Drosophila melanogaster: one gene and its partners. The gene in region 1 interacts genetically with each later gene. Each region holds a gene or a part of one and is shown in the gene's direction. Other genes may lie near its edges.

Region 1 (4,765 bases):
CTGATTTAGCATCTTCATCCACTTTTTGTCCCGCTCCATTTCAATCTTGTTGCGATGCACCTCCTGGGCATCACGCGTCGACGGCAGCCGCGAGTCGTGCAAGAAGCCATATCTGTGGGAGCATCAATGGCATTATTGGGATTTTTTCTGGCGAATGATTAATATTACTCACTTGTCTGTCCTGTGGTAGATCTCGAAGGTGGGATTCTCCCAGGAGTCCACCACATTGCTGGGATCCAGCCCGAGTTCGTAGCGCCGGAAGATGTCCTCGCGCTCGTCCTCGGCCCGCTTGACCAGCGCCTCCTGCTGTTCGCCGTCAGTCATTTGGAGCAGGATCAGGATTTGGCGGGTGGGGGAGGGGATCGGGGACAGGAGCAGGAGCCGGATCCGGAGGAGCAAGTGGCCAGAGCTGGTTTCTCTGTGCTCTCAGTTGGGGAGCGGCTGCTTCTGAGCTGACTGGGCGATAGCGCGAAACTTTGATAAAAAAAAAATGGAATGGAAAAAATAACACACAAAAGCATTAACATGCGAAAGCGATCCACAATAACAACACTCGTATACTATATAGCTGATGAGCGAATGACGCACACGAACATTAACTATTGTATATATATATATATATATTCAAATGCAGTGAAATCAACATGATCTTTGTTTTTGGAGAAGGAGCGTGGCATAAATGACGTGATGTTTCACCCATATTTAGTGCAGCATCAAAACATAAAGCCATATAAGACTTGGTCACTGATCTAGAAAAACGCCCCCTGATCTGCGTTGTGTGAGTGTGAGTGGGCCAGAAATGTGTGGATCTGCATGCGCCCCCGGGTTTTTGTCGCCTATTTTAATGCGAAATGTGCAATCTTATGCTTTATCGTTCGTACACTTCCTGTTTTCGCTGCGATTTGTTGTATTTTGTCAACACAGACACATACGCACACACGTAACACACACACACACAGACGCTCCGACGAAAGAGAGTGTTCTGGCTTTCACTGGCCACTCTCTCCGCGTTCCTATGGTTGAGTTTAATTAATCGCGCCGACGTTCGTTTACCATTTAATTTTGAATTGCCAATTCTTATTATCCGCACTGATCGGTTATGTTTGGTAACTAGTTTTTCACTATTTTATCTCGGCTGCATGTTTCCGATACATTTGGGGGGCGACTGAGTGTGTGTGAGGGCCAGAGTTGCCAGACTGATGTAATTGCCGAATAACGTAACGTAACAAGAGTACCAGGGATGCGAGCCAATATTTAAGCGATACTTTAGCGTAATGTTATACGAGTTTAAATTTTAGTTGAAATGTTTGTGATGTCAATGTACAAATATGTAAAATGTTTATCTATTTAAAGCTGCAAATGAATGCTCATTTATAAATATTTAACAATGATATTTATTTACTTATTATTTAAAACCTATTCAGTTACTTAATTGCGACAAGTGGCACTTAATGAATTAAAACATTTGTGGAAAACATTTTCACTTCAAAATTTATTTCTTGATAACAAAATCGGCTTTTTAATTCAAATATAATTTTTGTGACTAAATAAGCAGTGCTGCCATACATTCAACTGGAAAACATCGTCAGCAACAGAAGGATAAGTAATCGCTTGATCGATAGCGTTATCGATGTTTTCCCAGCCATCGTTCCACCACTAGCGCCTCTCAAAACAACAAAAAAACAGCGGCAGTCGGACGCGGTTTTTATCATCGAGCGCGGTTTCTTTGTTTTAGCGCTCGAAAATTGTCGAGAACTCTCGTAAAAAATACACTGTACCAAATAACTAAGGAGTGCATGCTAATTGAACAAGCAAATGAATTAAGGTGTATATCAAAGTGAAAAGAAGTCAAACATAACCGATTTTGTTGGCGGCTTTCTTTTATTTTTGTTGAGATACCGTGTTTAATTTCTCCAGTTTTATGCAAACACATGAATAACATAACAGTGGAAATTTCTAAGAGTGCATTGTGAGATAAAAGTAAGCAAATAATTAATATTATGTTTAACATAAAATGCAACCCTCAACAGCGTCCTTTTTAAAGGTGTGCGTTTATATATATATATATATATATATATATATATATATATGTGTGTTTGTGTGTGCGTGTGAGTGATTGTGGATTTTGTGATGCAAAAGAAAATTGCCGCGTGTAAATTTTTGATTTTCAATTCGAGACGAGCAGAGGATTTTTAAACTGCAGCTCTAGCATTTACCGTTAGGGCAAGAGTAAACACATTCAACATGTTGCAGTCACTAAAAACTAAAACAAAAGCAAAGCGGATCACTCTCTTTCTCATTCTCTCATTCGCTCTCTTTGAGTTATAAGTGTTTTTGCCGTGTTTTGTTTTGATTTTTGCACATACACGAAGACATCGAGAGAGGAGAGCGGAGAGTTTCTGCTCTTTTGATTGTTGTTGCATTGGCCAGCTAATAAAATTGTGCCGTTCTTGTTGTTGTTGCAGTTGGATTAAAATTCAAAGCATTGGATAAATGCTAAGTTGAAATAACAACAGTAATAACAAATGGAAAATAGCAAATAGCAAATCAAAGGAAATCAAAATCAAGTTGGATTATCAGCACAGCTTCTGGGTAAGTAAGTTAAGTCTCTTATCGCCTAATTAGTTTATAGCGTTTTAGTTTCGTGTGGGTGGCTTTTTGCATTTCAAAACCAGTTCTATTTCGGGTTTTCATATGCCTTTTTTTCTCTTCTCATGTTGATAAGACCTTGAAGCGCTTTTCGTGTAGAACTTCGCATGATTGATGTTTTTATGTTTGAGGGGAGCTTGAGTCAAAGCTCGGCTTTTAAAAATGGATCAAGACCAGTTTTTCGAGGCTTTGGAATTGCCAAATAATTTCCTAAGCCCAAACTGCAGTTTGTTGTGGTTGTTGCTATTGCTTTTGCTTGCATCGCCTAGAAAATGATGGATGCACACACCTCTCGCTCTACCCTTGCCGTCCCTTTCGCACATCCAGAAGTTGTCGGTTGAGTTTTTATGGCCGTCTCTTTTGTCTCTCCATTTATTTGCCTTTGTCTTTGGACTGATGACTTTGTTTTTGCCCTGTCTTTGATTCTTTCTTTCTCTCTCTCTGCTTCTTCTTCAACGTTGATCCTTTGATTTCGTTTGATCCTTGTAGGTAGAAAAGATTGAGTGTGGGAGAGATCTACCGTTGTTTCGTTACTTCAATCTATAAGATACTAGAATTTTCTTTTTTAAAACCAATTCGAGAAATATTTCAATATATATTTTTGGGGAAAGAAGAATTTTAATTCTTTCGAATATTAAAGAGTTTTTTAAGATTGATTTATAAATTTCTTTTGGATCTTATTATTTGTATTTTGTATACGAAACATTCCATCTTATATTATTATCGTTAGTTTTTTGTAACTCCAAAAATCAAAATAAATATTCAAATAAAGAATTCTGTATTGCCTTTTGTTTTAATGCCATTATGCAATATATGCATTTATTGCTTAAATATTTTTAAAATTATTAACAGCATTCAGCTTATGTCTTTTGAACATTCTCCTTACCAATATCAGATGCATTCCAACCGAAATGCGACGAAGGGCATGCATTTAAACACAATACCTGGCATACTCGACATTTTAAATGCTTTTCATCACTTGATAAACAGTATTATTTGCCTTTCCTTTTTTTTTTTTTACATACATGTATCTCCCTCTGTTCGCCGCCGTTTGTTTTGCCCCCGTCTTCGCATATGTACGTCTTCGAGTGGTCTAACATGTAATGTATGCCTCGTCTTTAGTTTCTTGTTCGTTTCGTCTTTGAGACACCGGAAGTTGTTGCTAGGCTGAAAAAGTTGTGTGTGTTTTTCAGCAGTGTCTCCAGCTGTATCTTTATCTCCCTCTGGAGCCGTATATCCATCTCTATCGACGAGCAAGTGGCGCGTGTGAATGACCCAATTAAGCTGAAGATAACCCGGCCTAAGCTTCGACTTCGTAGGTGGCTTAAAACAACTCGGTTGGCCAAGAAGAAGCAGCCCCAGAACCTGCCAGACGAACATACCTACTATGGCACAACAAAAAAGAGTTCACATCGAATATATCGAATGCGAAGTTTGAACTGTAAACAGGTTTACTTGGCCTCACCTCGCTTCGTCTGCTGCAGTTGGCTGCTACAGGTTTGCCTCCGTATCGCGAACTGCGCGCCATGGAATTTCCTGTATTCATTCATTTTTGAATCCATATAACATAAGCCTTATTTCACTTAAGTTAAAAAACTACAATAAGAAGAAAATAAATGCATACCATTTCAATCTTAAAATTCTTGAAATAAAAAAAATTTCATTCCGGGTGTGAATTTGTGGATTTGATTAAATAAAAAATAACTGTAGTATATATATGTTGATGTTGAAATTTTTAAAAGCTCCTCCATTACTTTCTCCATTTAAGAAACAGGGTAATGTTTTTCTAAGGTCAGCTTATGCAAAGAATAACATATGCAGTAATCCCAGTTTAAGTTATCAACATTTCACTGTACATGGTTTAGTGTGGTGCTTTATTTTGTCAGGCCAAACTCCTTTTCAACATTTTTGTATTAAATATTTCGCACCATGTTCTGCATTTATTCGGATACGAGAGATCTCCCGAGGCTCCAGTCTTCAACTCCATCTCCTTCTGTGCGTCTGCCATCTCTGTTCGACGCTCTAATGCCGTCCTTTTCTGTGGCATATTTTGTCGTTGAGTCAGTTGGGGTCAATGCTGCTGCTCAACTTAACTCTTTGCTCACTCAACTCACTT
Region 2 (4,969 bases), on another chromosome or scaffold:
GCAAGGACATTTAAGCTTCGGCTTGCTGAATACAGCTTTGATTAGCTTCAATTGGTTAAATAAGCTTTTAGTTACAAAAGTGGACGATTTCAACTAAACGATTATTTTTAGTAGCTTATTTATAGCTTTAATTCTCTGTAAATATGTATAACAAAAATATTGTAAGTAAAAAAAATCCATTTATTTTGCAATTACACATTTTGATTTATATAGTGATCTATTCGGTTTTAATATAATTTCGCCGAAGTATTCTAGAAAAGCGACCTTTAATAAGCAACCGAAATACTTTGCGATCCTTAACGCTTAAATGGGCGTCCGAAATGAAGTTCGTTTCTGGCATATAGCTGGGTATAAATTTCGAGTTAACTGTAAATCCCTTTGCGTAATACCGTTTATTCTAAAACACAATTTCCAAAATACGATATTAGAGAGTTTTATACAATTTCTTACCAGTGTTAATTACCATTTTCAACGGACATTGTATAGGAAAATTGGCGGTTTCGCGAAGCTGCGTAGTAACCATTCTAAATAAAAAATGATTTTCCACACTTGATAGCATCTGACAATAGTCTACATGTGAAGAGGTAAAATTCGTCACGTATGAACCTCTCTTAAATGTCAAAATGTAAATGCCCTTCAGGTCCTCAACATCTTGGGTTAATATGAACTCTGCGTATATTGAACCAGTGGGGTGGGAAGTTTCATTTAAGTAGCAGCTTACGTTTCTCACCAATTCTGGCATATAATTGAGGCACTCAATTTTCGTCATAAAAACTTCTTTCTATACGTTGAGATAGGTTAATGTAGTAGGACTTACATATATGATTCTATACTACTGACCTCTGCACGAACACTGCTCAAGATTAGGGTCCCCAGAATCAGGTCAACCAATATAAAAAGCTTTTTGACGTTCATACTAGTGGATAACTAATTGAAGACTAAAATCTAATGCATTTCAAACGCACGTAGGTGTGTATATTTTAAAATAAATGGGTTTTTAATGTGCTCAATTAGTGTATTACCTAATTTGTAATTGCTTATTTTTGTTGATAGAACATTAATATCGGTAAATTATTTGGACTTTTCAAGTTGGAGATGCGCAAAGTACTAATAGTATAAAATAATACTATAAAATTATTATATTATAATATATTATAATATTATATTATAATAATTAATACGGATTAGAGTGGGAGATCTGAAACAAATTTGCACGAATATGAAGCATTTAGAATCAGCTTAATAATAGTTTTCTAGTAATAACATATTGAAATAATTTGTATTCTTAAAAAAGAAAAACGGGTTTAAGATGAGTGATGATTTAGCTAGAACTTATACGTTTTCTTTATTTTACTGCGAACGCGATTTTACTGAATATAATTTCTATCAAAGCCCTTGAAGTAATTATCTTGATACCTATTAATTCTTCTTTAAATGGGCTATCCATACTATTACGCATTTATATTTAATTTATTTTTGATTTCTATGACTAATTTCTTGGTTAGATTCAGGACGATTTCATCATATTTTGAATAAGTGGTGCGAAATTACTTTTTTATTGGTCCATTCGACCAGTCTAGCATACAAAATATTTTCGTTAATAACATTGCATAAATTTATAGCTCTAATATATTTTATAATGACTTATTTATTTTGCAGAAACTTGTTTCAAAAAATTAACGTTTGGTGATTCGTTTGGTGATTACGTTACGTGATTCCGGGCAGGCCTTACGTTTCACGTAGCTCTGTTCCGTTTACCAAATCGTTTCGCGAGCTTTTTGGACCGGCGCATTTGTAATTCCATCTCTCTATTTTTCCTCCCCCGCATTTCTTAATCGTTATCGCTCTCTCTCTGCGAATTTTGCAAAACAACGGCCGGCCGTTTGGAAAAGTCGGAAGAAAGTCAGTTGGCAAGTGGAAATCACCGGAAAAACTACACAGCGCGGCAGAAGGAAAAACGTGAAAATCGCAGACGCTTACACCGCAGACGGGAAATAAAAAAAGCCAAAAAGCAGCCGCGAAAGGCAGCGCAGTCGACGTTGGCAGCGCCGAGGGCTGATAACAATAGTTAATAACAATAACAAAGCGGAATAAAAACAAAAGAGAGAAGCACATGAAAAGATAATATGTAAAAACCGAAACAAACAAAAAATCGCGCGTTTAATTAACGGACATACGACGTGAGCAGCGCGGTCGACGCCGCAGTCGCAGTTGGCGTCGCAGTCGCCGTCGCGCATTGGTGTGTGTTTGTGTGAGTGTGCGTGAGTATCTGTGTGAGCTGGAGATATAAAACTGCAATTGATTGCAATTTCGGCGGCATTTGCAAAATAGCAAGCCGGCGAAGAACACAAAACCGAGAAATCGAGAGATCTGCAAATAAAATATACAAACAAATAAAAATATATTAGTAATAAACTTATACAAAAACACAACAAATATAAAATCAGCACAACAAAAACACAGCCAAACGGTAAAGATACGAAAAAGCTAACTCATTTGTGTATCTAAAATAATAACAAAAAGCAATTCGAAAATGAGTACTTCTTGCATTTGTGTGAGCGCAGCTGTTGATGAAAGTGAAGGAAAATCATTCACATTTTCTACGGGAAAATGGGAAAGACAACAACAGCCACACACTCACACAGCTGCAAAAGAAAAGAGAGCACAGAGAGCTAAACTCAGACGACGCCAAGTTCTTTTTTTCCGCTTTTCCGTTGTTTGCATTTTATTTTTGTTTTCTGTTGTGTTTTTCGCACACAGGGAGGAAAACTCAGCCACTTATAAGTTTAAATTTTGAGTGTACACATCTTGTTTCAGTTGTTGTTTGTTTAAGAACATAAACTTTTTATAAATTCAAATGTTAAACGTAGATATTTCGACGTAGCTTTAAAGGACTAAATACTCTTTATATTGCTTTTTTTGCCCAGAATATAAAAGAATATATTTAACTTTACATAAGCTTATATTTCCAACAACGCTAAAAATACACTTTTTAACTTGTTGATTTCTTGACCATTTTTGTTAAAGTTTTTCGGAATTTCACATTTTTTTTATAAATGTAAGTTCGAATATTTATTTCTTTTTCCTTATTACACCTTATTACACTTTATTAAAGTTCATTCAAGTTCATTAACAAAGACAATATTATTTTTAATTAAAGTCTAAATTTGAACGATTTTTTTTGCATTTGTGGAATAATGTTGAAAACAATAAGATTGTTGTAAATAATCAATAAAGAATTGATCCAAGACAGGTCAATTTTTTTCTGTGTACATTTACGAGTCGAGTTCACAAGCCAGACAGCACTGTTGCTTTTGCTGCTGTTTTTGTGAGAGTATCTCATAGCTAGCTACCTAGCTGCAAAAAGTATCTAGATACTTTTGCCGAGTTTCCTACTCTTTTATCCGGCTGTCTGTTTATTGAGACGCGTCTTCAAGTTTTTTCCCCACATCATTGCATTCTTTAATTCCCTACATTTTAAATAGGAGCAGTTTCAGATGTTTCGAAATATTTATAAATATTTTCTTGCACTCGCATGTTGGCCGGCAGTCAAAGTAACACTCAACTTCAACTTCTGTCTGCGCACTCTAATTGAGTTAGTCTGGCATTTCAATGGGAGCAGCAAGCACACGCACCGCTTCTGGTCGAAAGGGGCGGAATGGTATTAGCAAGAAATGGGGGCGGGGCCGGGCTCCAGACTCAGCGGGTGGGAAATCCGGGGGGTGGCTCTTGCAGGGGTCACAGCCTAACCCGTGTGTTAAATTATGCAAAACGCTAAGGGAATGTCGAAGCAATAAGTGCAGAAATGTTTACATTCTCTGGCCAACGAAGAATATTATTCATATTTGCGTTTGGGTTAAATAAATAGGAAATTTGGTCATTTTGGTTAATTATTTTCCTAAATAATAATTAATTTTTGTTTCTTGTTATTTCTAATTATGCAATATTTATTTAGTTCTTTGAAGTAATGATTAAACCCAATCTTAATTTTAATTTCCCTCTACTTCCTTCTGATTGAGTGTATTAAATATTTCACTGAAATATTTTTCTTTTTCATTAATGCAAATGGCTTTTGAACTATTCCACACACCCACTGGTGTCTCATTTATATCTTCGCAAAGCACATTCATAAAAAAGGAACCTACAATTTCGCTCCAAACAACTTTTTTATCATAGCCCGGCTTACACGTACGAACACATATATTTTTGGGTATTTTAAAGGGTTAACACACGCTATACGACTGCCAAACTTTTCCACGTTGGCTTTTTGTGCTGGTCCTTTTATTTTGTGAAAATGTTTGGCATTTTTTGTATTAAATTGTCAGTGAAACGAGCGTTGGACCGTTTCCGAGGGGCATGGCAACAATTCAAAACGTGAACTGCCACTAAAACATGCCAAAAATCTGCGCATTTAAAATATTTGCCCCAGAGCCCATTGAGATCCAGCCAAGCGATGGATGGGCGGCGGAAGGGGAAAAGAGGAAAAATGCAGGCATTTTCCTGCGATTTGATTTAGTTGTTGTTGGCCGGGTTACACCTTTTCACTCACACCTGTCGTCTGTGTTTTTCTATTTTCAATTTTTTTTTCAGCAAACTACACGTCTGCGTTTTGGTTGCCCCCTGCAAGTCCTTTGTTTTCTATTTAATAGCTGTTTTAGCCACTTGCACGTGATCAACAATTAATTGGCAATATCTTTTTCAGGTTCGTCAAATCAAGCGGATCTCTCCAGCCAAAATAATCAGCAATCTGATGTAGCAAACGCCTATATATAGAATATACGAAAATGCAACCATTCCGTTCCGCGCCGTGCTAATGCAAACGTATACGATCCGAAACCGATAAATATAGAAATACAATAAACCCAAGTGAAATAGCAATTTTAAACGCCAATAAAAACAAAATATACCAATTACACTGCCCAAGAGAACATCAAAGGAACTCATTTTGGAGGTGAGTTATAACAACCAT
Region 3 (5,142 bases), on another chromosome or scaffold:
ATATTTCATCTATGAACAGCTTACAACAGCTTGAAAAATAATACGCCCTGTTGGCCACCAAAATACCGGGTGTATAAAAAATGTCGCCAGCTCGACGAACGACTTAATCAACAAATCAGCGATGTCAACCTGCGGATTGTGTTGGCAGCTGACTTCCCATTTTCCCTTTCTCCCCTCCAATGCCCCATGAAAAAAACACCTTCGCTATCGCTATGGATATATGTATCTCGCCGATCGCCGATCTCCGATCACTTGGCCTACACCATTTTGGTTTCGTTTCTTTTGTCGCCGTCTCATTTTAATCACTCATACATACATACATACATACATCTGCATATGAAATATACGTGCATATGTATAATACCAATAAGCATGTGGCATATAACTTATAGCCAAACACCTACGTTCACTTTTGGCTCTTTGCAGTGCTTCTCTTTTTTGAAAGACCCACGAATTTTGTACGAATCGCGTAAACGCGTTTATTTTCCCTGCCCACAATCACACACACACACACTTAGAGATAGTGGTGTGGGTTGAGTATCTGCGTGTGCGTGTGTGTGTGAGTGCGCCACTATTCGTTCATTCACAAATTGTGTTGTTGCTGCCTTGGCATGCTTTTGCTTTGTTTTTTCTTTTTTTTGGTTTTTTCTCAATTCAGTTTTGTTTTGTAAACACACACATACACACCTGGATGGAGGCGCACACAGATACACTGACACCTCGGCAGCTGCGCCACACACACAACCGCACACACGGTGTGCAAAGAGAGAGAGAGCGCGCTCTCTCTCTCTCTCGTGCATCGGCATTTCAAGTTCAGATATCGTATCTGTGAAGTTGTTTTGCCGGCATTTCGATTCTCACGAGCGCAGAGAGAGAGACCGAAACTGTATCTGTGTGCGAGCGAAACGTGTGTGTGGTATAGGTGAGAGAGTTTATCCGACGATTTTATCCGGGCCTTCAATGCGGCTCAAAATCAGTCAACTGCGATTTTCTTATAATGCAAGTTGGCTTATATGCATGTTAGACAAAAATAACTTCATGGGTACAAATGAAAGTCTAAAATTAAACAAATATATATTTTAGATCATTTTGTAGCGCTTTAATTTTTTTGCGAAGTTAAACAAAAAAGAGTTCCAATTAAGAATATTATATTATTTTTAAAAGAAAATAAGTTCAAAGCCAAGAATTATTAAAAACTAGACTAATTAAATTTCAATCAAAAAGTATTGAATTTACATTTTTGCTTTAGAGAATGTTTGAGTTTTAAACTGTAACTAAAAACGCTGCTATTACTATTTGTAAAACATTTTAATAAATTATATATTTGAAATTGTTTTGTAATTGTTTCTAAGATTAGAAGGCCCTTAAAGTCGATAAAGTACTAAACGCATAAATCAAAATTTTTTGGCTTCTGAGCAATGTAAGTTTAGTTTAGTTTAGAACTCAAATGAAAATGAAATGCTGTATTAAGAAGAAAGGGCTCAATTAAGTGACATATATTGCTCGAAGGATGCGAAAAGTGACCTAAAAGCCGGCCAACTTCCCAAAGGATTCAACGAGCGCTGCTTCTATTTGCCTTCGCCTTCTGCAAGACAGTGGAAAAGACATCCGCTTGGATTCGGATTTCGTTAGCTTATCTTCGCATTCGATGTTATATAACGCCAGTCGGTGGAAGTGGGAGGTGCCTATTCGGAGCTCGACTCGCAACTGGCGACCCAAAAGCGCCAAATGCAGCCGAGTGCCCCCATTGGCATAGAGTTTTGAGCAATTAGAAGCCCACGCAGCCATAAACAACAACTGCTCGGGCGGGCGGAGAGTGGGAGGAGAAGCTCTTCGAGCAGCTCCCACCGAGAAAAGCGGAACACAAAAAAAAAAAAAAGAACTAGAGAAATCTCCACTGCACGTGCTGCTCTTTCTCGCTCTCTCGCGACTTTATCCGGCGAATGAGAGGCCAACAGTCGGCACTAACACACAGATACCGCCGCCTGTTTGCCTCGGTGTGGGTGTCTCTCGGTGCGATGGTATTGGTGCCTGGTATCGTCGCTGTACGAGTGGCGACTCTACTCAGAAGTCAGTTTCTTGCTGGGCAGTGTCGGTTCAGGTTCATCGACGCTCCGCACGCGCTGCCGCAAATTCTTCAGTGCTGAATAACCAAGACGCGTCTTTTTCGGACCCAAAAAAAAAGAAAAATATATAGAAAATATATCCGAACGTAACGTAATCTTCGCAGTGCGCTTACAGACTCCCCCTCCAACCCGCCACACAAAAAACTCTCTTTCTCTCTCTCTCCGCGAAGAGAGTTTCAGTGGTTGGTTTGGATAGGTCTTGGTGGTTCGGTGTTGCCGTCGCTGCTGCCGAAGCTCTGCCGACGCCGACGACGACGCCACGTCGGGAAAACCAACCTCTTGCAGTGAAAATCTTTTCGTACGTTTTCGTTATTTGTTATTCGCACGTTGACGCGACGAGACCGCGAAACACGACAGCACGAAACTGCAGCCCAAAACTGCAACTGCAACTGCAACTGCAACAATAACGATCGCGCGTGCAACAACAGCAATTCGAAATCTAATAGTGGCAAGCTGCAAAGTATCTAAACGCCTAGAAATCCGTAAACTAAACTCGCCAAATCATTTAAAATCAAGTGAAAAGTGTGTGTCTTAACAGCCCATTAAGTAATATAAATCAATTAAAGCCGCAAAACACACAATAAGCCAAACACGCAAACGCAGCATAAGCACAAATAATACATAAAAATAAAAGAAGTGTGATATTTTGATATTAGCAATTAGAGTTTACACAACGCAGCCTAAAAAATATTTGTTAAATGTGTTTTGCCACCCCGAAGGCAAAAGCTACAAATTGGATAATGCTTGGATAATTCCCCTCCTACAAAAAAAAAAAAAAAAATTAAAGGTGAGTTCGCGAGATCGCTCAATTTGCCGACGGCTTAGTCATTTGGACAGCCGAAAGAAAAAAAACTATAAAGTGCCATCTCAGCTGTGCTGTTTGGTTGGTCGAAATGTGTCAAAAGCTGAGCTCCAGTTACGAATAGGATCGGTTTACCATAACACTCAGCGTAATATCAGATCGGCGGCTATATGCTATATACATATGTACATATGTATGTGTGTGCTGCAATCGATTGCACCCATGAATGATGGACTGATGATGAGTCCATATCAGCACGGGCCCCCTCCAGTGGCATCATCCACATCATCATCATCATCATCATCATCATCATCCCAATCTCATCTCACTCCCATGCCATATTGACTCTATCTATATTGACGTCAATCGCAGCAGCAACTTGACATCGCCGATCTGCAGATCGTGTGCCTGGCAAATTGACGCACACAAAAGCGAGTGAGATAGAGAGCCTGGTAGAAAGATAGTACTAGGACCCTTAGCCCCAGTTTCCTCACATCCAGTTGCAGCTCCAGATTCCCACTTCCAGTTTTAGCCAGTCTCGGGGAATTTTAATTGCCCATCTTGGCCAAAAGCAGAGCTGGGCTGCACTCCCTCTCTCTATCTCTCTCTCTCTCTCTCTCTATGTGAACTATGCCAATTGTCTACACCTGAGCCGAAGAACTGCCCGTCTGGCTGACAAATTTGTATGCACGCGCTTCAAAAGTGCAATATTAATTAATTCCAGCAACTCGAGACACGGGCAGCAACAACATCAACTGATCTGTATGCAACAGAAGTTGCAAGTTGCTAGTTGCTAGTTGCTTGTTGCAAGTTGCTGGTTGCTAGCGGTTGCTACTTAGTCGAGGCAATTAAATCGTATGTCATTCATTGGTAATTTATACCATTTACAGGCATCTGCTCGATGTGGTTGGTTCCTTAAACAACAGTTCTGCGATAATAGCTCCGCGATGTTTTACACTTGCCCATTAGCATAGATTACTGCATCAAGTGCTGGACCAAAATCCGTTTGCTTTGCTTTTGACCTGTCTGGCAAACGCCAAACGCCAATAGCCACAACGCTTGATCGATCGCTCTAAACCGATTTCGATTCCGATCCGATCCGATCCGATCGGCGATAAATGCAACTTGCCATGAAAAGTGCTGCCTTAAATGGGCATTAGGCTATTGCACATTTCTCAATATGTCGAGTGATTTTTTCTCTGCTCCTCCAACGCGGCTGACTTATACGCACCGCACCTTATATGACGAACGGCGACGTCTGCCGCTGTCCCACTGCATTTGGCATATAAAACAGACGGAGCCACTCGGTGGCTTCCATCGGTGGTGCAGTTGGGGGGCAATGGTGGCGATGGTGTCTCAGGTGGTTCGCTGGTTGGAGTCTCACCCGCACGACGCCATTTCTCAGACCCCGATGTCAATGGCAATTTGCATTTTCCACACAAAAGCACCTAGGTGCTCCTGGTGGCGGCTCCCTTCCCTAGAAACAGGGCGGAATAAAAAAAAAAAAAGAAAATAACGCCATATATACTGTGTTTGGTCGAGTTAAGGTCCCTGGTTCAGTGGTTAATTTATTTCTGACACAGCCTTAAATTAACAATTTTAATACAAACAACAAAAGAGCGCGCATTGAAATTGAGACGTTGAGCGAAATACAAAAAAAAAACACAAAAAAACTCAGAAAAAATACAAAATAAAATAAAAAACAGTGAAAATGCACACAATAAAGGGAAAAAAAACAAAAAGCTTAAAAGGAAAAAACATAAAATAAATTTACAGCAAAACAAAAGCGTGTTACAGAACAAAGGAGACGATTTTGGGGAGCAGTGAAAGAGGAATGTGTAAAGTGAAATAAAATTCTGGCGCGTTAATTAACTTTAAACGATTGAAAACGAATTGATTTGGAGAAGCCATTTGATTTGGATTAGTCGTGCCCGATTCAGAAAAAATGCCACAAAAGGTTGTGGAGGTGGACCCCCAGCTCAAAGGGGTCACAGCTTTTGGCCAAGCTGCTGGGCTGAAAATTAAAATTCAATCATCACGTGTGCGTTAAAAGAGACACACCATCGGCCATCTAACAATCAGACAGATCATTGGAGTTGTTAATTGAAATGCGTTAAACAATAAAACAAAGACTGTCATGTCTGTCACAGTTGCCAAGTGACTTAACACCTTTGGGATCTGCGGTTAATGCCGATCCCCGACAACGGTGTGGAT

What was found. Genes that interact genetically often act in the same process or in processes that back each other up.
Region 2: of mam (region 1) and fz2, changing one enhances a phenotype caused by changing the other (phenotypic enhancement), as found in Drosophila melanogaster (one study listed by BioGRID).
Region 3: of mam (region 1) and klu, changing one enhances a phenotype caused by changing the other (phenotypic enhancement), as found in Drosophila melanogaster (one study listed by BioGRID).

Annotation. Positions count from the first base shown.
Region 1 is NT_033778.4:13,989,513-13,994,277, forward strand, and holds the start of mam (mastermind), read left to right. Parts: upstream 1-1,690; 5' UTR 1,691-1,980; intron 1,981-2,465; 5' UTR 2,466-2,592; intron 2,593-4,765. Other genes in the region: RN-tre (uncharacterized protein), read right to left, coding at 1-112, 173-324.
Region 2 is NT_037436.4:19,232,306-19,237,274, reverse strand, and holds the start of fz2 (frizzled 2), read left to right. Parts: upstream 1-1,901; 5' UTR 1,902-2,261; exon of another isoform or gene 2,262-2,470; intron 2,471-4,702; 5' UTR 4,703-4,951; intron 4,952-4,969. Other genes in the region: CG33647 (uncharacterized protein), read right to left, coding at 218-397, 464-781, 841-915. UniProt on the Drosophila melanogaster protein: Receptor for Wnt proteins.
Region 3 is NT_037436.4:11,006,121-11,011,262, reverse strand, and holds the start of klu (klumpfuss), read left to right. Parts: upstream 1-2,074; 5' UTR 2,075-2,913; intron 2,914-5,142.